Linked DNA regions of Ovis aries. The protein of the gene in region 1 interacts with the protein of each later gene in a pairwise test. Links are inferred from orthologs where the notes say so. Each region holds a gene or a part of one and is shown in the gene's direction. Other genes may lie near its edges.

Evidence for each region. The genes of interacting proteins can lie anywhere in the genome.
Region 2: the proteins of REL (region 1) and CEP19 interact in binary tests that used the Homo sapiens proteins (3 or more experiments, as listed by UniProt). The two-hybrid records come from large-scale screens. The link is inferred for Ovis aries from reciprocal best matches to the Homo sapiens genes REL and CEP19.
Region 3: the proteins of REL (region 1) and EFHC1 interact in binary tests that used the Homo sapiens proteins (3 or more experiments, as listed by UniProt). The two-hybrid records come from large-scale screens. The link is inferred for Ovis aries from reciprocal best matches to the Homo sapiens genes REL and EFHC1.
Region 4: the proteins of REL (region 1) and PRKAB2 interact in binary tests that used the Homo sapiens proteins (3 or more experiments, as listed by UniProt). The link is inferred for Ovis aries from reciprocal best matches to the Homo sapiens genes REL and PRKAB2.

What each region holds. Positions count from the first base shown.
Region 1 is NC_056056.1:63,114,900-63,118,832, reverse strand, and holds part of REL (proto-oncogene c-Rel), read left to right. Parts: intron 1-981; coding exon 982-1,130; intron 1,131-3,933. UniProt on the Homo sapiens protein: Proto-oncogene that may play a role in differentiation and lymphopoiesis.
Region 2 is NC_056054.1:192,038,455-192,042,999, reverse strand, and holds the start of CEP19 (centrosomal protein of 19 kDa), read left to right. Parts: upstream 1-1,671; 5' UTR 1,672-1,717; intron 1,718-4,545. Other genes in the region: PIGX (phosphatidylinositol-glycan biosynthesis class X protein), read right to left, coding at 1,220-1,671. UniProt on the Homo sapiens protein: Required for ciliation. Recruits the RABL2B GTPase to the ciliary base to initiate ciliation.
Region 3 is NC_056073.1:24,505,351-24,510,046, forward strand, and holds the start of EFHC1 (EF-hand domain-containing protein 1), read left to right. Parts: upstream 1-1,822; 5' UTR 1,823-1,856; coding exon 1,857-2,024; intron 2,025-4,388; coding exon 4,389-4,610; intron 4,611-4,696. UniProt on the Homo sapiens protein: Microtubule inner protein (MIP) part of the dynein-decorated doublet microtubules (DMTs) in cilia axoneme, which is required for motile cilia beating.
Region 4 is NC_056054.1:98,151,113-98,155,516, reverse strand, and holds the start of PRKAB2 (5'-AMP-activated protein kinase subunit beta-2), read left to right. Parts: upstream 1-1,530; 5' UTR 1,531-1,672; intron 1,673-1,875; exon of another isoform or gene 1,876-1,935; 5' UTR 1,936-1,962; coding exon 1,963-2,115; exon of another isoform or gene 2,116-3,652; intron 3,653-4,404. UniProt on the Homo sapiens protein: Non-catalytic subunit of AMP-activated protein kinase (AMPK), an energy sensor protein kinase that plays a key role in regulating cellular energy metabolism.

The sequences.
Region 1 (3,933 bases):
TTAGCTGCAGTACACTGCTTCCAGGATCTTAGTTCCCCAACCATGGATCAAATCTGTGCCCCTTGCAGTGGAAGCTCAGAATCCTAACCACCAGACTGCCAGGGAATTTCCAACCTTATACTCTTAAATTTTTACTTTCTCTTTTATTCAGAAAGGCAATAAATACTTTCTGATTACTGTTCAAATTAAGTTTAAATTCAGAGTTCAGGATTTTAATGCCCTTTTACCTGTGAAGCCACCCATTTTTACTTAACTGCCTTGCTCCCTTGTATGCTGTTTTTTAAATGTTTCCTGCTTTGTGCTTACAAATTTGCTAGCTTCCAAAGTAAATACTAACTCCTTCCCACAAGCTCCTCCTTCCTCTCCCATGTTTAACTCTTCTCTTCATTCTCAGTGTTCTGTGTGAAAACTTAATTTTGCAAAACTCAGCTTGATTTATTGCCTATTATACAGTGAACATTTGGGATATGCTTACTGATTAACAAATATTTTTGTGAAATGAAATGTCATGTATTAAGTTACTTAAGTGATCATATTTATGTACTATCATTTCCATTGTGGCTTAAATATATACTTGGAAGGGATGTTATGGTATGGCATGGCAATGGTATGGCAATGAATATAGCAGCATGGCATTCAGTGACTCAGCACCTTAGAATTTCCTCATCTACTGTGATACTATTTTAGTATACTTTGACTTGTTTTCAAAGGAAAATAAGCAAAAATCAGATGATATAAACAGTTGAAATTAGGGCACAAAGTGATATACGAAGGAACTGAGAGGTAAATTCTTCCCTACTGGTATCCTCTGGAAAGTTTCATGCATACTGCAGTTACCAGTCAGTTGTAGTTTATCCAGTGCTAACTATATGATGTAAATTGAACTATTTAGTATAAATTCTGGTGCTGATATAAATTTTATAATTCAGTTGTTGGTGAGACATATTTATGGATCACATATTTAATTTCCCCCCTTTTCAGATTTTGAACTATTATGGAAAAGGAAAAGTGAGAATTACATTAGTAACAAAGAATGACCCATATAAACCTCATCCTCATGATTTAGTAGGAAAAGACTGCAGAGATGGCTACTATGAAGCAGAATTTGGGCAAGAACGCAGACCTTTGTTGTAAGTACATAGTCACAGACATTTTTAGGAATAGTATAAGAATAGGATTCTCCTGTTTCCTATCTATGTACCTCTGTTACTTTTTGGCAGAATAAATCAATTCCTCACTGTACTTCTATTTACTGTAGTATATATTTGCATTCTCTTATCATTTACATTAGAACTACCCTTTCATTTTTTATTAGTAGAAGCCCATGATGGTAGTAGGAGTACTTCTTTATTGTAACTAAAAGTAAACATAAACTTATTTTATGCTGCAGTTTTCTTTCTTAGTTTGAACAATTTATGAAAGGATTTCTCTAACGTAAAAATTGTCAGATGTGAAAAAATCACCTGGAAAACTGGGATTTTTATTTGAAAAAGGCAGTATAACATTAACATACAACAATAGCTTTAAAATTTAAAATAGATATATAGTACTTTGTGTGTGAGGCTGCTGGGTTCATTTTCATCCTATTGGTGAAAGTAAATAAATAAAATCTTTCTGGTAGGCACTATAATTTCAGCAAAGCCTGAAATTATATGAATGTCTCTTGAACTAGCAATTCTACTTCTAGGGATTTATCTTGAGGAAATAATCTAATTAAGCATGTTCAGAAACTTAGCTGTAATGATGTTCATTGAAGCTTTGTAATGGCAAAAAGTTAGAAGCAATCCGGATTATAAAACAGAGGGAGATTAGTTAAACTGGTACCTCCATGCAGTGAACTCCTATGTAGCCTTAAAAATAACACTGCAAAAATGTCTTTGTATAGAAAGATGTTCCCAATATTTAGATAAATAAAAGAAGGCTTTACAATGAAGTATGATAAATAATTTAAAAATTTTAAATTTTACATTGGAGTATCATTGATCAACAATGTTGTGTTAGTTTTTCAAAGTAAGTGTGTACATATACATGATAGTTTAAACACTAAGATGTTGATAGCAGCTGTCTCTGGGTAGGAAGAATTGTGGGGTTTTATGTGCTTCTTTTAACTCATATTCATTTTATAATTCTTTTTGTAATGAACATGTATTGCTTGTGAGAAAAAAATGAAACTGATTGCAACAGGAAAAGATTAGTAGCCTCCTTAAATACAAGTAGTAACCATTTAGAAAATATACTTTAGTAACAGCACAAAACATGAACTATCTGGTTGTATAAACTTGGCAAGGAATACTTCCTATTTGTATTATTTCGCCTCCCAATGTTTTACATTGTAGATTATTGACTTATTGAAACATAATTACTCCTTGTTTTCTGAGAACAGACTCTTCTGTTTTACTTCTTATTTCTCTGGCTCTTCTTTGTCAGCCTTCAGTTCAGTTCAGTTCAGTTGCTCAGTCGTATCCAACTCTTTGCGACCCCATGAATCGCAGCACGCCAGGCCTTCCTGTCCATCACCAACTCCTGGAGTTTACCCAAACTCACGTCCAGCGAGTCGGTGATGCCATCCAGCCGTCTCATCCTCTGTCGTCCCCTTCTCCTCCTGCCCCCAATCCCTCCCAGCATCAGGGTCTTTTCCAATGAGTCAGCTCTTTGCATCAGGTGGCCAAAGTATTGGAGTTTCAGCTTCAGCATCAGTCCTTCCAGTGAACACCCAGGACTGATCTTTAGGTATAGGCAGTTAGATTTTTGGACTACCTTATTTATGTCCAGTGATGCCCAATAATGCCTTTACGGCAGCCATGAAATTAAAAGACGCTTACTCCTTGGAAGGAAAGTTATGACCAACCTAGACAGCATGTTAAAAAGCAGAGACATTACTTTGTCAACAAAGGTCCGTCTAGTCAAGGCTGTGGTTTTTCCAGTGGTCATGTATGGATCTGAAAGTTGGACTATAAAGAGGGCTGAGCGCAGAAGACTTGATGCTTTTGAACCGTGGTGTTGGAGAAGACTCTTGAGAGTTCCTTGGACTGCAAGGAGATCCAACCAGTCCATCCTAAGGGAAATCGGTCCTGGGTGTTCATTGGAAGGACTGATGTTAAAGCTGAAACTCCATTATATTGGCCACTTGATGTGAAGAGCTGACTCATTTGAAAAGACCCTGATGTTGGGAAAGATTGAAGGCAGGAGGAGAAGGGGTCAACAGAGGATGAGATGGTTAGATGGCATCACTGACTCAGTGGTGATGAAAACTGTTGGTGATGGACAGGGAGGCCTGGCGTGCTGTGGTTCATGGGGTCACAAAGAGTTGGACACCACTGAGCAACTGAACTGAAGTGAACTGAACCTTGCCCCTCAATCCAAAATCCTGTTAAGGATCATCCATTGTATTTGGGTGTCATGCTTATTTAGTCTCCTTTAACTTAGAATATTTTCTCAACTTGTGTTGGTTTTTCATGACATTAACATTTTTGAAGAATATTATTTGTTTTGAAGAATGTTATTCAACATGGGTTAGTCTGAGTGGTTGCTCATGATTGTGTTCATGTTAACATGAAATATTTTGGATGAGAAATCTACAGAGGTGATGCTGTATTGTTCTCAAAGTAACACTACAGGAGATGGTGATACTAGTTTTTTCCCATTGGTGATATTAATTGGCATTCTACTGTAAAGAAAAACTTAGCCATATTCCCCTGCCTCAGTTGAAAAAATACCAGTATAGACTCATGGATTCTTTTTTTGACAGATAATTTTGTTGATTTATTTTTGTTTGTGCTGGGTCTTCGTTACGCACAGGCTTTCTCTATTTGCAGAGAGCAGGGGCTACTCTCTAGTTGCGATGTGTGGGCATCGCTTGTTGTGGGGCACAGGTTATAGGGTTCACTCGCTTCAGTAGTTGCAGCTCCCTGGGCTCTGGGGCATAGGCTCAGT
Region 2 (4,545 bases), on another chromosome or scaffold:
GTATAGCAAATGCTAGATACTAGATTATTTATGATTTTTAAGGCAACGGTACCATTTTCAAAATGAATTTGTTGCATCTGAACTCACCTTCAAGATTTTTACTCTTAAATTTTACTTACTTCGTTTTTGTAGCCCGAATTGGCTCTGGAAATTGACCCCCTTTACAAATTGCTGTAAAGTCTTTAGTTATCAATAAGCCCAGTCGTTTGAAAATTATTTTTCGCCTAATAATTCCTTCTTCAAATAAATTTCAGAACCTAATATATAAACACACAAAAGCAGAACTGCACTGATTGACAGATACTAATCTAGTATCCTGGTTTTAAAGACAGCTTCCGTACTGGTTTTCCTGGTGTGTGTGTGTACTGACTTTTCTTTCCCTATCAAACGTTATCACTTTATTGTAACTACTACTGCACTTACCCATCTCCCCTACTACATTGCAAGCTCCACGAGGGCTGGATTCACAGCACCAGTACAGCACTTCTGCCCCCGAACTTGAGCACAAAGAAGTGAATCGACTCGCTCGCCCAGCCCGGAGTCTTAAAGAAACCCTAGCCCAATCCAGTTTATTATCAAACATGTTTGTAAAACGAAATTAGTCGTCCTCCCCTTTCCACGCTCCCCAAGGGAAGGTATTCTAGATTGGGGTTCTCACACCTCACAGGGCACTTAGGCTTTGTTGGCCCCGCAGTAGTCAGAAGCCTCATGCATCCCAAGAGCACCCCAAAATGCTTCACGGCTGTACTTCACAACGTGTTAGTAATAGTGCTGCCAGTCCCTCCTCAGAAAGACCAAGCCTTCCTCTCCAGAGAACCAGGACTGGTCACAAAGAATGGAGGCGGGGGCGGTGGGACGTGCAGGAACTTGCAGCCTTTGTTGTTTATCTCCTGCTACTCACCCTACTTCCCTGTGGCTCAGACGGTAAAGCGTCTGACTACAATGCGGGTCCCCTGGAGAAGGAAATGACAACCCACTCCAGTATGCTTGCCTGGAAATCCCATGGACGGAGGAGCCTGGTGGGATATAGTCCATGGGGTCGCAAAGAGTCGGACACCACTGAGCGACTTCACTTCACTTTCACTCACCCTACGGTTCTAGGGTCGCGAGAAGCACGTTTGTAAAGGGAGGAAGTGAGAGGTCTCGGGAATCTCGAGTGCTCCCCACCCTCTCAGACCTTAACCCGGCCCCACTCCCGAGGCCCAGCTCCGCCCCTTACCGGCGACGAAGTGGGTGTTGTTGAATGTTGTGGCTGGCGAGCAGGTGAACCCAGCAGCCTCCCAGAGAAGCAGCCAGGCCACTGCCCTGACGGCCACCGCTGGGGCAGCCAGGACGAAGAAGAACGCGCGCCCCAGAAGAGCACGCGGGGATAAAATGCGATCGGAGGAACGTGCACAAGGTTCACACCGCTCCGCACTGTCACGGAGTTTGGGACCCGGAAGTAAGATTCGCTTCGCGCACGCCTGCGATCCTGCAGTTTCCCGGCTCCCCGCCCCTAAATGTTCCGGGATAGCGGCAGGCCTTCGTCCAGCACCTTCGTCGCCCCGCCCCTTGCCCTCACGGTCGGGGGCGGAGCGAGGAGTGGCGCAAGCGCAGTGACGTGCACTGGGGCTGTTGGTCTGGGGAGAGCTCCGTGGACCCCGAGTCTGACCCTGAACCCCGCACGCTGTCCTGGGAACCGCCTAGCCGAGCTCCCGGCATTCTCCTCAACTTCCAGGTATTTGCCGATGCGATCCTCCTGCCTGAGAATTCACCCTACAGTCACGTCTGCGAAGCTGTGGCTGTCGTCTTTTTCTGCAGCGCCAGGCTTTGCCTGGCCTTAAAGTGAAGTTAAGTGCTCCTAGGTGCACTACGGTTGGTGGACAGGTTTTAGACGTTGACCTGCAGAAGATGCATTTTCTGTACTTATAAGAAAATCAGCCTTGCACTAGTGAGGGGCATGGTTAGGGAGAGGATCGTCTACCTGATGGCAAAATCCGTACATTCTTAGATGCTGTGGGCGATGCTTGGCAAGATATGCCAGTCATTGATCCCTGGGGAGGAAAGTATTAATGTCTAGAAGAAAAACTTGGTAAATGTGTCGTCTGTCTTCATGAATTGAATATGTAAGCAGACCTGGAGAGTATCAGGTGCAGATTAGAGCAGAACGGAGGGCCCTAGGATGAATGTCTTAAAGGCGAGAGATATCAGAGCTCATTCGCTTCAGTCGTGTCGGACTCTGCGGTCCCATGGACTGTAGCCCGTCAGTTTCCTCTGTCCATGGGATTCTCCAGGCAAGAATACTGGAGTGGGTTGCCATTTCCTTCTCCAGGGGATCTTCCCGACCCAGGGATCGAACCCGTGTCTCTTGTGCCTTCGCATTGGCAGGCAGGTTCTTTACCGCTAGTGCCATCTGGATACTACCTAAAATTCAATATAGCAATATAAGCATGCTGTTAAGAAATATAGAGATAGATTTTGGAAGAAACATTTAAAAGAATTGAAACTGATTACCTGTGGAAAGGGGACGGGGTGAGGACAGCAGTTCTTTGTTATGAGCCTCATGAAATTATGTTACATTAACAATACAAACAATACTTTAGTAAAAATAAAAGTTTAATTTTAAAAAGAAAGAAAAGAGTATAGTCATAAAACTTCATTATTGAGCATAACTTTCATGCATTATTTATTAATACAGTCATGTGAGTGTGGAATTTATATTGTGCTCACTACTAACAAATTTTAGTGAGGCGAACTGGGAGAAGTATTTGTTTTAAAAAAAAAAAGGAAGGAAAGGAAAGAGATGGAGAAGAAGGAGGAGGAGAAGGAAAAGAAGAAAGAAGGGATGAGATGGGATCACTGAATCAAATCAGAGACAGAACACAATAATTTGACAAAGCTGTTCTTTATATATGATCCATTTCCTAAGAGTAAAAATTCTCAGTCCAACAGTAAGAGCTGAATAATATAGATTATGGTATATCCATAGAACAAAACATTTGAAGTCATAAGTTTGCATTTTAGAATGACATTAAATTTGCATTTAAAGACAAAATTACATGGGTTGTTAAATTTAAAAGACAGGACATAGAAAAGAATGAAATAATACCATTTGAAGCAACATGGATGGACCTAGAGATTATCATACTAAGTGAAGTAAGAAAGAGAAAGACATACCATATAATACAGTGTATGTGGAATCTAAAGTATGACACAAATGAACTTATCTACAAACAGAAACAGACTCATAGACATAGAGAACGAATTTGTGGTTGCAACGAGGGAGGGGGTTTGGGGGAGAGATGATTGGGAGTTTGAGATTAGCAGGTGCAAACTGTCATGTATAGCATGGGTAATAAGGTCCTACTGTATAGCACAAGGAACTATAGTCAATATCCTGTGATAAACCATAATGGAAAAGAATACAAAAAAGAATGTATATATGTTTATAACTGAGTCATTTTGCTATATAGCAGAAATTAACATTGTAAATCCACTCTGGTGGCTCAGAGGGTAAAGCATCTGCCTGCAATGTGGGAGACCTGGGTTCGATCCCTGGGTGGGGAAGATTCCCCTGGAGAAGGAAATGGCAGCCCACTCTAGTATTCTTGTGTGGAAAACCCCATGGATGGAGAAGCCTGATGGGCTACAGTCCATGGAGTTGCAAAGAGTCAGACACGACTGAGCGACTTCACTTTCAGCAAAATAAGTTTCTTTAAAAATTTAAAAGGCAGGAAATAGTATGTATCAACATAAAAACATACTAAAACTATGTCTAGAAAAAAGACTGGAAGGAATCAGGGATGATTATTATTTTGTATGTTTCTTCCTACCCCCTCCCAATTCTCCAGTAAATATCTATTAAGTAATCCTGTTTCTATTGTGATTCTCTGGCAGAACTAAATTTATGAAGGTATCATCCCTTTGCTACTTTACTTCTAGATTTTTTGACATTTGCAAATCTTCCTGAGAATACCATAGTCACATCTAAAGCATTCCCTATAATTAAATATATTTTTGCATTGAGAGCAGGGAAGAGGGAATGAAAAATATTAACCTTTAAAATGACTTTTTCTTGTAACTGAAAAAACATCATGTAGTGAAACAAGTTGAAATAAAAGCTATATAAGCTTTATTGCCTTGAAAATGTGAAGGCTGATTCTGCTTCGGGTCTGCCTTCTTGATCAGACTTCTAGACGGTCAACACTTAGAGAATGTACAGGATACACTGAATTAAACAATGGAATACCTAATCCAGATATTGTGTTGGGGATAGTGTGGTGAACTTTGGACATGTTTCCTGCCCTCAAGGAGCATGCAGAATAGAAGAGAAAAAGATAGGTGATTAAATAAGTAGTTACCAAAAACTCAATGAGGAAAAAAAAAAAAGCAAGAAACTCAATGAAGGACTTCCCTGCCAGTTCAGTGGTTAAGAATCTGCCTTCTAATGCAGGAGACGCAAGTTTGCTCCCTGGTCAGGGAACTTGAGAGCCTACATACCTGTGCACTGCAGCTAAGAGAGGCCCAGACACTGCAATGAAGACCCAGTGCAGTGAAAAACAAAAC
Region 3 (4,696 bases), on another chromosome or scaffold:
GGGAGGAGCCAGAAGCTTTTGCAACAAAAAACAGGGGGTCAGAACATTTTAAAAAAAAATACTGTTAATTAAAACCAGACATCTCAAGTTAATGAATGAGTGCTTTTCTTTGTATGAGAAGATGCAAGAGTCTGGGCTCACTGAACTCATTCCTTTGATAGGCACCTTACCATCCAGGACCAGTATCCTGCTTTTCTCCATCCTAAATCCCCTCAGCATGCACAGCTGTGGATGACTTCTGTGACTGATGGCTTAATGGCTGCAACATCTTTCCATTTCCTGATATGGCAGGTGACATCCTTTGTCCACACTGCCCTTCTAGGTCAGTGGCTAAGATAAAATGTAATGGTCAGATACTTGTAAAGTCTTTAGTGTCATTACAATGCATTGATTCAAAAAGTGTATTAAACACCTACATTAGGGCACTACACCAATAAAAAATAAAAATCTGGAAAGGTGAAAAAAGGAGTGGGGGACAAACATGGGAAATAGAAGTAGTTAGGGGATAGCAAGTGTTATCAGAAAAGAAACTCTGGGCAAGGTGTGGAGACAGCCACCAATAACTGCTTCACTGCCACTAGTGGACTGATGTCCTGGGCCCCCTGAGGTTTATGCCTGTTAGTGAAACCCATCAGGGGGATTTACTCTGACAAGCAGCAGTAAAACTAAAGCCTTTGTCTGTATTGGCAGTAAACCACCCATGACATGGATGCCTTTGGCGTGAAGCTTGCTACTCTATTGCACTCCGTTAAACTGGCTCATTCTCAGAAACAGCTGTTATAAAAATCAGACGCCTGGGCCCCATTTCAAACCCAGTGAATCCAATGTCCAGGCATCTGGGTTTTGTTTTTCTTTTTAAGCTCTTCAGCGCTTCTGATAGCTTGTTTTTTCTTTCTTGAAGATGTTTCAAGAACAGGATTACATTTTTTAAGGGATAATAATTTAAACAAGTTTTGTAAAAAGAGTACCTACGGTTTTGACAATTTATCACCGCACTTATTTGCTTTTCTCCTATGACAAATTTTTCTTGGCAGATGTATTTCCCCTCGTGGGTCTGATCTTTTTATTGCAACTGTAGGTAGTGATACTAGAGACTCGGAGAATTGACAGGAGCGCCGTGTAGCTGTCCAGTCAACAAATACTGAGCATCCTGCGGTGAATATGTAAGACCCCCCCAAGGCCTGTGAAGGAGGGTATAGAAATAGAATGTGCTGCGCTTAGTCGCTCAGTCGTGTCCGACTCTTGGCGACCCCGTGGACTGTATGTAGCCCGCCAGGCTCCTCTGTCCATGAGATTCTCCAGGCAAGAGTACTGGAGTGGGTTGCCATTTCCTTCAAAGGTAAAGTAGGAAAAAACTTGAATGAGGTAGTTGGAGGATTAGGCACCAGTCAGTTGCTTTTGTTTATTGAACATCCTTGAACAACAGAATTACAATCATGAATAATTCTCAGTCCCTGGCCCCAGGGAAGCACGGGTTCAGGAGAAGTAACACTTTCAACCGGAACCAACCAGTGACACTTCCGTGTGAACTGGGACAACAGCCTTTTTCCCACAGGTGGGAGAACAGCGAGCGGGCGGGGCGAGGTGAGGTGAGGTGAGGACTGGGATGGGGCGAAGGAAGGACCCTTCCCTTGGAACTGATCTAAGGACTCGCCCGAACCCGGACCCTCAAGGGGAGATCCATCACGTCATCCCACAACCACCTCGTCCCGCCCCGTGTTCTCACGTCTGCGCGGGGCGGGGCCAGCTCCCCTCGGCACACTCCCGCGAGAACGTCTAGTCCACGGGCTGCTCATGCGCGGGCTGGGCACGCCTGCGTCTCAGGCCCCGCCCTCTTCCGCTAGTGCTCTGCGTGTATGGCGTTACCATGGAGCTGCCGGGCCGCCCAGAACGCCGCTGGTTCCCCTGGCAACCCGAGAGGACCAAACCCTACCCGGGTGGTTGCGGCGAGAGCGGCCGCTATGGTGTCTAACCCAGTGCATGGCCTGCCTTTTCTCCCAGGCACGTCCTTTAAGGACTTAACGGTGAGGACTTCTCCGGCCAAACCCCTGTCCCCACCTCCTGGCAGCCCCGGAGAGCTCGCAGCAGGTTGCGTCTCTGCTCGTCCACGCGAGTTTGTCCTTTTCCCCTTCAAACCCTCTCTCTGCCCCCAACTCTGTTCTCCACACCCCACCTCCACCCCACTCCCCACCCCCCAACCTCACCCTCTTTCTCCAGTTTGCTCTCAGCCCATCCCTCTCTGGTTTTTCCACTCCATCCTGGCAGTCTGTTGGCCTCCCAGCGTTCTTCCTTGCTGCTCTGCTCTTGCTGGCTTTCCCCACCTGGTTCCCGAGCTCCCTCGGCCTTCTCCCTAGCTCATTCTCCCTTCTGCATACCCCTCTCTGCCCAGTTCCATCCTTAAACTTTTCTTCCCTCAACCTGGGCCCCTTCCCCAACGCAACCTCTATACGCCTTCGTACTTATTTCCACAGCCCCATCCCGCTCACTCTCCCCAAGCCCATCATTGCCGCCCGCATTTTCCTCTTCTGAATCCTAGACCCAGTAATCGCTCCCAGTCCCAACTCCATTTCCATCTGTTGGCTTCTTTCTGTCAGGTCCTTTTCCTCGGTCTCATTTATGCTTCTACCAAGCCCCATCTCCTTTTCTGTCCCAGCACGTCGACTTTTTCTGCAGTCTTGTTTAATCTTTTTCCCCAAATCCTCTTGCTTGGAAAGTTAAATTTTCAACACTTGGCCATCTTCCTCCCAAATCATCCTCAGGTGCTTTATGGGAGATAATTGCACTTTAGTTCCTCTGCCACAATTGATGTGTTCTTGGTTTTTCTTCTCTAGCCCTTTTCTTTTCGCTTGTAACATTTTTATAAAAGATTCCTGTTTGGATTTTGTTTCACTCCTCTCCTGCCTTAAGTGTTGTTAGTTATATCTTCTAGACAAAACTGAAGAGGAAAAAAAAAAAGGCTTGTGGTTTTTTTTTCTCTGACACAGTTTAGCCCTTGACAAAATGATTTTAATACTGAAATTTCAGGGTTGCTGAAATATGTGTTGGAAGGTCAGCATTAAGATTCAATAGGCTGAAAAAAAAAAGAAGAAAAAAAAAGATTCAATAGGCTGATTTTCAAAGATGAGACAATAATCATTTATGTAGTTTAACAATTTAAACAATAAGTTCCTCTCCTTGGTCATGAAGTTAAGGTAAAAAGACTGGAAACTGACTGCTCACTTGGCTCTTCCTTTCCTGTTGAGGGGAAGTTGTCTCCTGGCACTGAACAGTGCTGGTTTGGAGAATGGGATGATGCAGACAAAATGAGGTAGTCTTCCTTCTCTTCCTGTACGAATATCCTTGGTTTTTTTATCCCACTGTGTTGCTGAAACCTACTACATGGACCTCTTCCAGAGCTCTTATTTGTGGATAGCTGTCTGACTGTTGATCTTTGTGGAGTGGTGGGGAGGCTGAGTCCCTGTGCCACTGTTTTGATCTCTTTCCTTCAAAAATATTTCCTTTTCACTTTTTCTTAATATAATCTTTTGTTTTTTTCCAGTTATCAAAAAAATGTGTTGATTGTAGAAAAGAACAACAACATAATTTAGAAATGTATAAAACAGAGAACATTCTCCAAAGCAGTCTTTTTGTGCACGTGTTTGCATGCTTGTAATTGTAGTATGTGTATAATTTTGTAAGCTGCTTTTCTGGGTTTATTAAATCATAAACATTTTCCCCAGATTGCTACATGGTCTTCAAAACAAGTATTTTAATAGCTGCATAATAGCCCATTAAGTGAGCTTTCCATCATTTGCTCCTGCTTGTCTTTTATATTGCTTCTCGTGTTTTGGTTTATTGTGATTAACATTGTAATTGTCAGCCTTAGGCATGTTGTTCTTTCCCATGATTTTGGATTATATCCTTAAAGGATGGAGGGTGGAATTACTTAGTTTGACTTTAAATCCATAAAATCCATTTGCTTTCCAAAGAGTTACAATGAATATATTAGTGTCACTGTAGCAAGAGGGCCTTTCATTTCAGATAAGAATTCATTTCACAGATTTGGATTGTTTTGGTTCCGTGACTTATGACCACCAGATAAGATAGTACAAAATTAGGAGTCAACATAAAGATATTTTAGGTTTTTTGTGGTAGGTGAGCTGATAATTAAAATTGGATGCTCAGTAACAGGGCTTTAAATTTTATTTTAAGCTCAGGCTGCTGCCTCCCTCCTTGTTCCTGGCCACGTGTTTTAGCTTAAAATACAAGAACCTTCTCATGTAGGTAAAATTTTTGATACAGGGTTTGTGGGTGTTTATAAGTAAAGGTTGAATCTGAAACCTTTGGAAGTTAGCTCTTCTACCTAACAAATATTTGTTATATCTTGACACACTTCTTTTTTCCTTCAGAAAACAGCATTTCATAGAAGCCAGACGCTGGGCTATAGGAATGGCTATGCAGTTGTTCGACGTCCAACAGTTGGGATTGGCGGGAACAGGCTCCAGGTCAACCAGCTGTCCCAGGCTGATCTGGACGAGCTGGCCAACAGCATCCCAATCCTCACGTATGGACAGCCCAGGCAGGCCCCGCCTGCAGCGTTTATTCCTGCGCATGTGGCTTTTGACAAAAAGGTATCATCTGGGATCAAAGGGTACCCCTCAAATTCAGATTTCTGAGAGCCAGCTGTTTGCAGAAAAGTCAGTAGTAAACCATAGAC
Region 4 (4,404 bases), on another chromosome or scaffold:
CTAGTAGGTCATTAGACATGCATATAATCATAATACAGAGTAAGAATTAGCAAATACCACAGATATCCCATTAATTATCAGTAGAAAGCTGAATTTATCCCAACCTAAGGGCTGTTGTTGCGCTTTTCTGCCTTAAGTGTTCCCTCTGATGTTTCTGTTGCTTTCTTACTTGAATTTTATTTCTTCTGAGGTTGCTCACTGCAAATACCGTTTCTTAGCCTAGAATAGTTTTCTCCTAATTTTGACAATCTGACAAGATTTGTCTAAATATTCCCTCTTCCCTGGGGCCCCACTCTGACTGCTAAGTACTCCCCATAACACTTAGTTTTAACCCCCAGCAATTACCATTATTTCCTTAGCTTTCAATTGCAAGTCCTTATTCTTATTTCTTATTCCTTACAGGAACTCACCTCTCTGGGAAGCTTGTCGAAAAGATGCTACAAAATGAAGACATTTGGCAAACTTGAGACCAGGTGAGGAGGCCGAGAAGAAACCAACACAGCTCCTCCTGGTACGGTGCACCAGAGCCCGGGAAGGGACCCCAAGTATCTTTTGGGAACCATCCTTTCCCCATGGCAGGTCTTTGGGCTCAACCAACCTCTTGATGAAAGTGAAAGAGGAGAGTGAAAAAGTTGGCTTAAAGCTCAACATTCAGAAAACAAAGATCATGGCATCCAGTCCCATCAGTTCATGGCAAATAGATGGAGAAACAGTGGAAACAGTGTCAGACTTTATTTTTGGGGGCTCCAAAATCACTGCATGGTTACTGCAACCATGATATTAAAAGACGCTTACTCCTTGGAAGAAAAGTTATGACTAACCTAGACAGCATATTAAAAAGCAGAGACATTACTTTGCCAACAAAGGTCCGTCTAGTCAAGGCTATGGTTTTTCCAGTAGTCATATATGGATGTGAGAGTTGGACTACAAAGAGAGCTGAGCGCAGAATTGATGCTTTTGAACTGTGATGTTGGAGAAGACTCTTGAGAGTCCCTTGGACCGCAAGGAGATCCAACCAGTCCATTCTAAAGGAGATCAGTCCTGGGTGTTCATTGAAAGGACTGATGTTGAAGCTGAAACTCCAATACTTTGGCCCCCTGATGGGAAGGGAAGAGCTGACTCATTGAAACGAGCCTGATGCTGGGAAAGATTGAAGGCGAGAGAAGGGGACGACAGAGGATGAGATGGTTGGATGGCATCACAGACTCAATGGACATGAGTTTGAGTAAACTCCGGGAGTTGGTGATGGACAGGGAGGCCTGGCGTGCTGCAGTCCATGGGGTTGCAAAGAGTCGGACACGACTGAGCGACTGAACTGAACTAAAATAAACCTAAGATTCCGGCGCAGGCTTGCCAGGGAAGCGGTCCTGGCCCCGCACTCCGCTGACTGCGGCACTGGCGCCCCCGCCTGGCGCTGGAGGCTGCGCGCGGCGGCCCACCACCGAGCCGGCGGCGGCTAGAGAGGCCGGCTGGCCCCGGGCGCCGTCGCGGCGCGCCCGCAGGGAACGCGCGCGGGGCGGGCCCCACGCCACTGATCTTGTAGCCATTTTAGGAGGAAACCCGGCTCGCTAGCCCGGGGCGAGGCTTCAATTTCGATAACTTTATTGGTGGCTTTATCCGCAGAACAGCCATCTCACCATTGATCCCGGGAGGAGGGAGAGCATCGCGGGAGGTGATTGGGGTGGGGGCGCCCCTGGACCGTGAGCGCGGGGGATGCGGGGGAGTTCCCGAAAGGGGGTTTCTTGAGCAGCGGGCCTCTAGAGGGTTTGGGGGTTCCGGGTGTTCTTGGAGGCCAGGGAGGAAGAGGTCCCCCAGGCACGGCTTCCCTGGGGCGGGGATTCCCTCGCCCGGTTCCCCAGACGCAGGGGCGGGGCCGGGGGCTCCCCTGACAAGACTGCCGGGGTGTCCCTTGCCCCATGCTGTTCCCCACGGCAGGTGGCCCCCGACTCGAGCTGCACAGCCATGGGAAACACCAGCGATCGAGTGGCCGGGGAGCGCCACGGCGCCAAGGCTGCGCGCGCCGAGGGCGCCGGCGGCCATGCTCCGGGTAAGGAACATAAGATCATGGTGGGGAGCACCGACGACCCCAGCGTCTTCAGCCTGCCGGACTCCAAGGTGAGTGTCCCCACGCCCCTAGTTGGTGGCGGTCCTGCAGCAGGCTGGGTGTCAGGGCTCTTCCTCCCTCTTTTGTTTTTTCCTTACCACACTGACCCGAATTAAGGCTTTTAGAATTAAAGGTTTTTTTCTGGGGACGGAGATACTGGGTGGTAATTCTTTTTGCGGTGCTGCCTCAAAATAGGCTAGAGGCGGAGTTCCTGTTACTGGACTCCTGTGTTTGCCACATTTTTAGGATGAGGCCAACACCCCCCCCCCTCCGCCCCCCTCCACCCTTGGTTCTCCTGGATGCCTCTTCTAGAGTATTGATGAATTTGTAGGTTGTGAAAAACTTCAGACTGTAGGTTACCTGAGTTGCTGACCACAGGCGGCAGTTTCTCACATTTGCCCTAAGGTAGGTAAGTGACTTTTCCCTGAACACTTCTACTTCTTTGTATTAGTCTCATTTTTGCCCTTCTAAGAGATCAGCACTTCAGATCCTCTTCCTCTTTGGCATGACTGTGAGCAGCAACCCCTTGCTTATATGAATACTTTTTCCTAGTCCTGGGGATCAATAAAGGACATTATTTGGTTGACTGCTTAGTTTTCATCTCATACTTTATAGTTATGGCTGAGGTGCTTTTTTTCATGTCCAGCTACTTCTTAAGTGGGAGAGCAAATAAGTTGAGGATTTCTTCACTTCCTGGTAGTACTTCATAATATTACCAAACTGAAAAAGGACCACCCACAGTTTCCCTGAAGACCTGGCTGTCAGTCTAGGACTTTCAGGAAAGTGGCAACTTGTGTTCACCCTACAGAAAAGATAGATGGAGCTGACAGCAATAAAATTACATCCAAATGTTTCTAATCACTTTTAGAGCTGTCTGCATTAAATACAGTAATTCCACCTGGTAGTCTGACTGGGATGAAGTAGAAAAATGGAGGGATTGAGGAGATTGGGGTGTGTTTGATGTTATCACTCATCCCTTGCCACACATCTGAGGTTTTATTTTATTTACTCTTGTAAATGTGTGTGTGTGTGTGTGTGTTAGTCATTCAGTCGTCTCCGACTCTTTGCAACCCCATATCCATGGGATTCTCCAGACAAGAATACTGAAGTGGGTTGCCATTCCCTTTCCAGGGGATTTTCCCGATCCAGGGATTGAACCTGGGTCTTCTGAATTGCAGGCAGATGCCTTACCGTCTGAACGACCAGGGTAAATAGAGAGTAATTTTGCTGGGTTGGTAACACATGAAATGTGGATTCTGTTTATTTTCTTGGATCCCAATTGAAAACATAATCACAAAGAGAAGTGAAGGTGATTTCTTGGGGTTTCTTCTCTGTTCCTTTCTTGCTTCTTCCACTTCAGGACTTCTTCCTCAACTCTTGGGCTATCTCCCCAGCCATCTGAATTTACTTCTTCAAAGCTTTCTCAAGGTGATTGTATTTTTATCCATTTCCTACACTGATGACTCAGGATTTAAGTACTGTGTACTTGTCAAACTGTGGCTGCAGTAATCGGTGTCCTGAATAAAAGTCAGGTTGCTCTATCTGAAATGGAGCCTATTTTGGATCATTCTTTCCCTTACCTCAGTCTTGCCATTTGTGAACTAAGATTGGTTCAAATAATTCCCAAGGTCATTTCCAAATCTGAGAGTTTACAGTTGCTCAGTCTATTCTATTTCTTTCCTCAGTGTTTCACTTAAACAGTTTTCAATTGTAATTCTAGTTGTTTTGCCTCTTTTCCTGATGATTTTGCTGACTATTTAACTTGGAGTAAACAATCTCTCTCCTTGTCAGCTGCACTGATGCCTACCACAGAAATGTCATATCATACGTGGAAGGGCTTTCTTCCAAAGCTAGGCATATTAATAGTTTGTAGCTTTCAAATTCTAAAATAATAAAGCATACAAGTAAATGATAGAAACAGTGGCAGAAGGGCCTATATTGCTTCAAATGCCACCCTTCAGTGGACTAGTTCAGTGGTTTTCAATCCTATTTGCACATTAGACTTACTGGGATTTATTTAAACACTTCATGGAAAATCTGAAACATTTTCCATGTTTCAAAGTCAGGAGAGCAGTGTAATGAATCCTATATAACTGTCATCCAGTTTAAACAATGATCAAATCATGAATGAATTCATATCATCTATACCCCAATCCACTCTACCCCCACCAATTATTTTTAAGCAAATCCCAGACCATCATATCAAATATTACTTTACCTATAAGCATTTTAGGATGTATCTCTAATGATGAGATTTCTTTCTTTATTTTCAACATTAAATTTTAGGATTATTGTCTGGG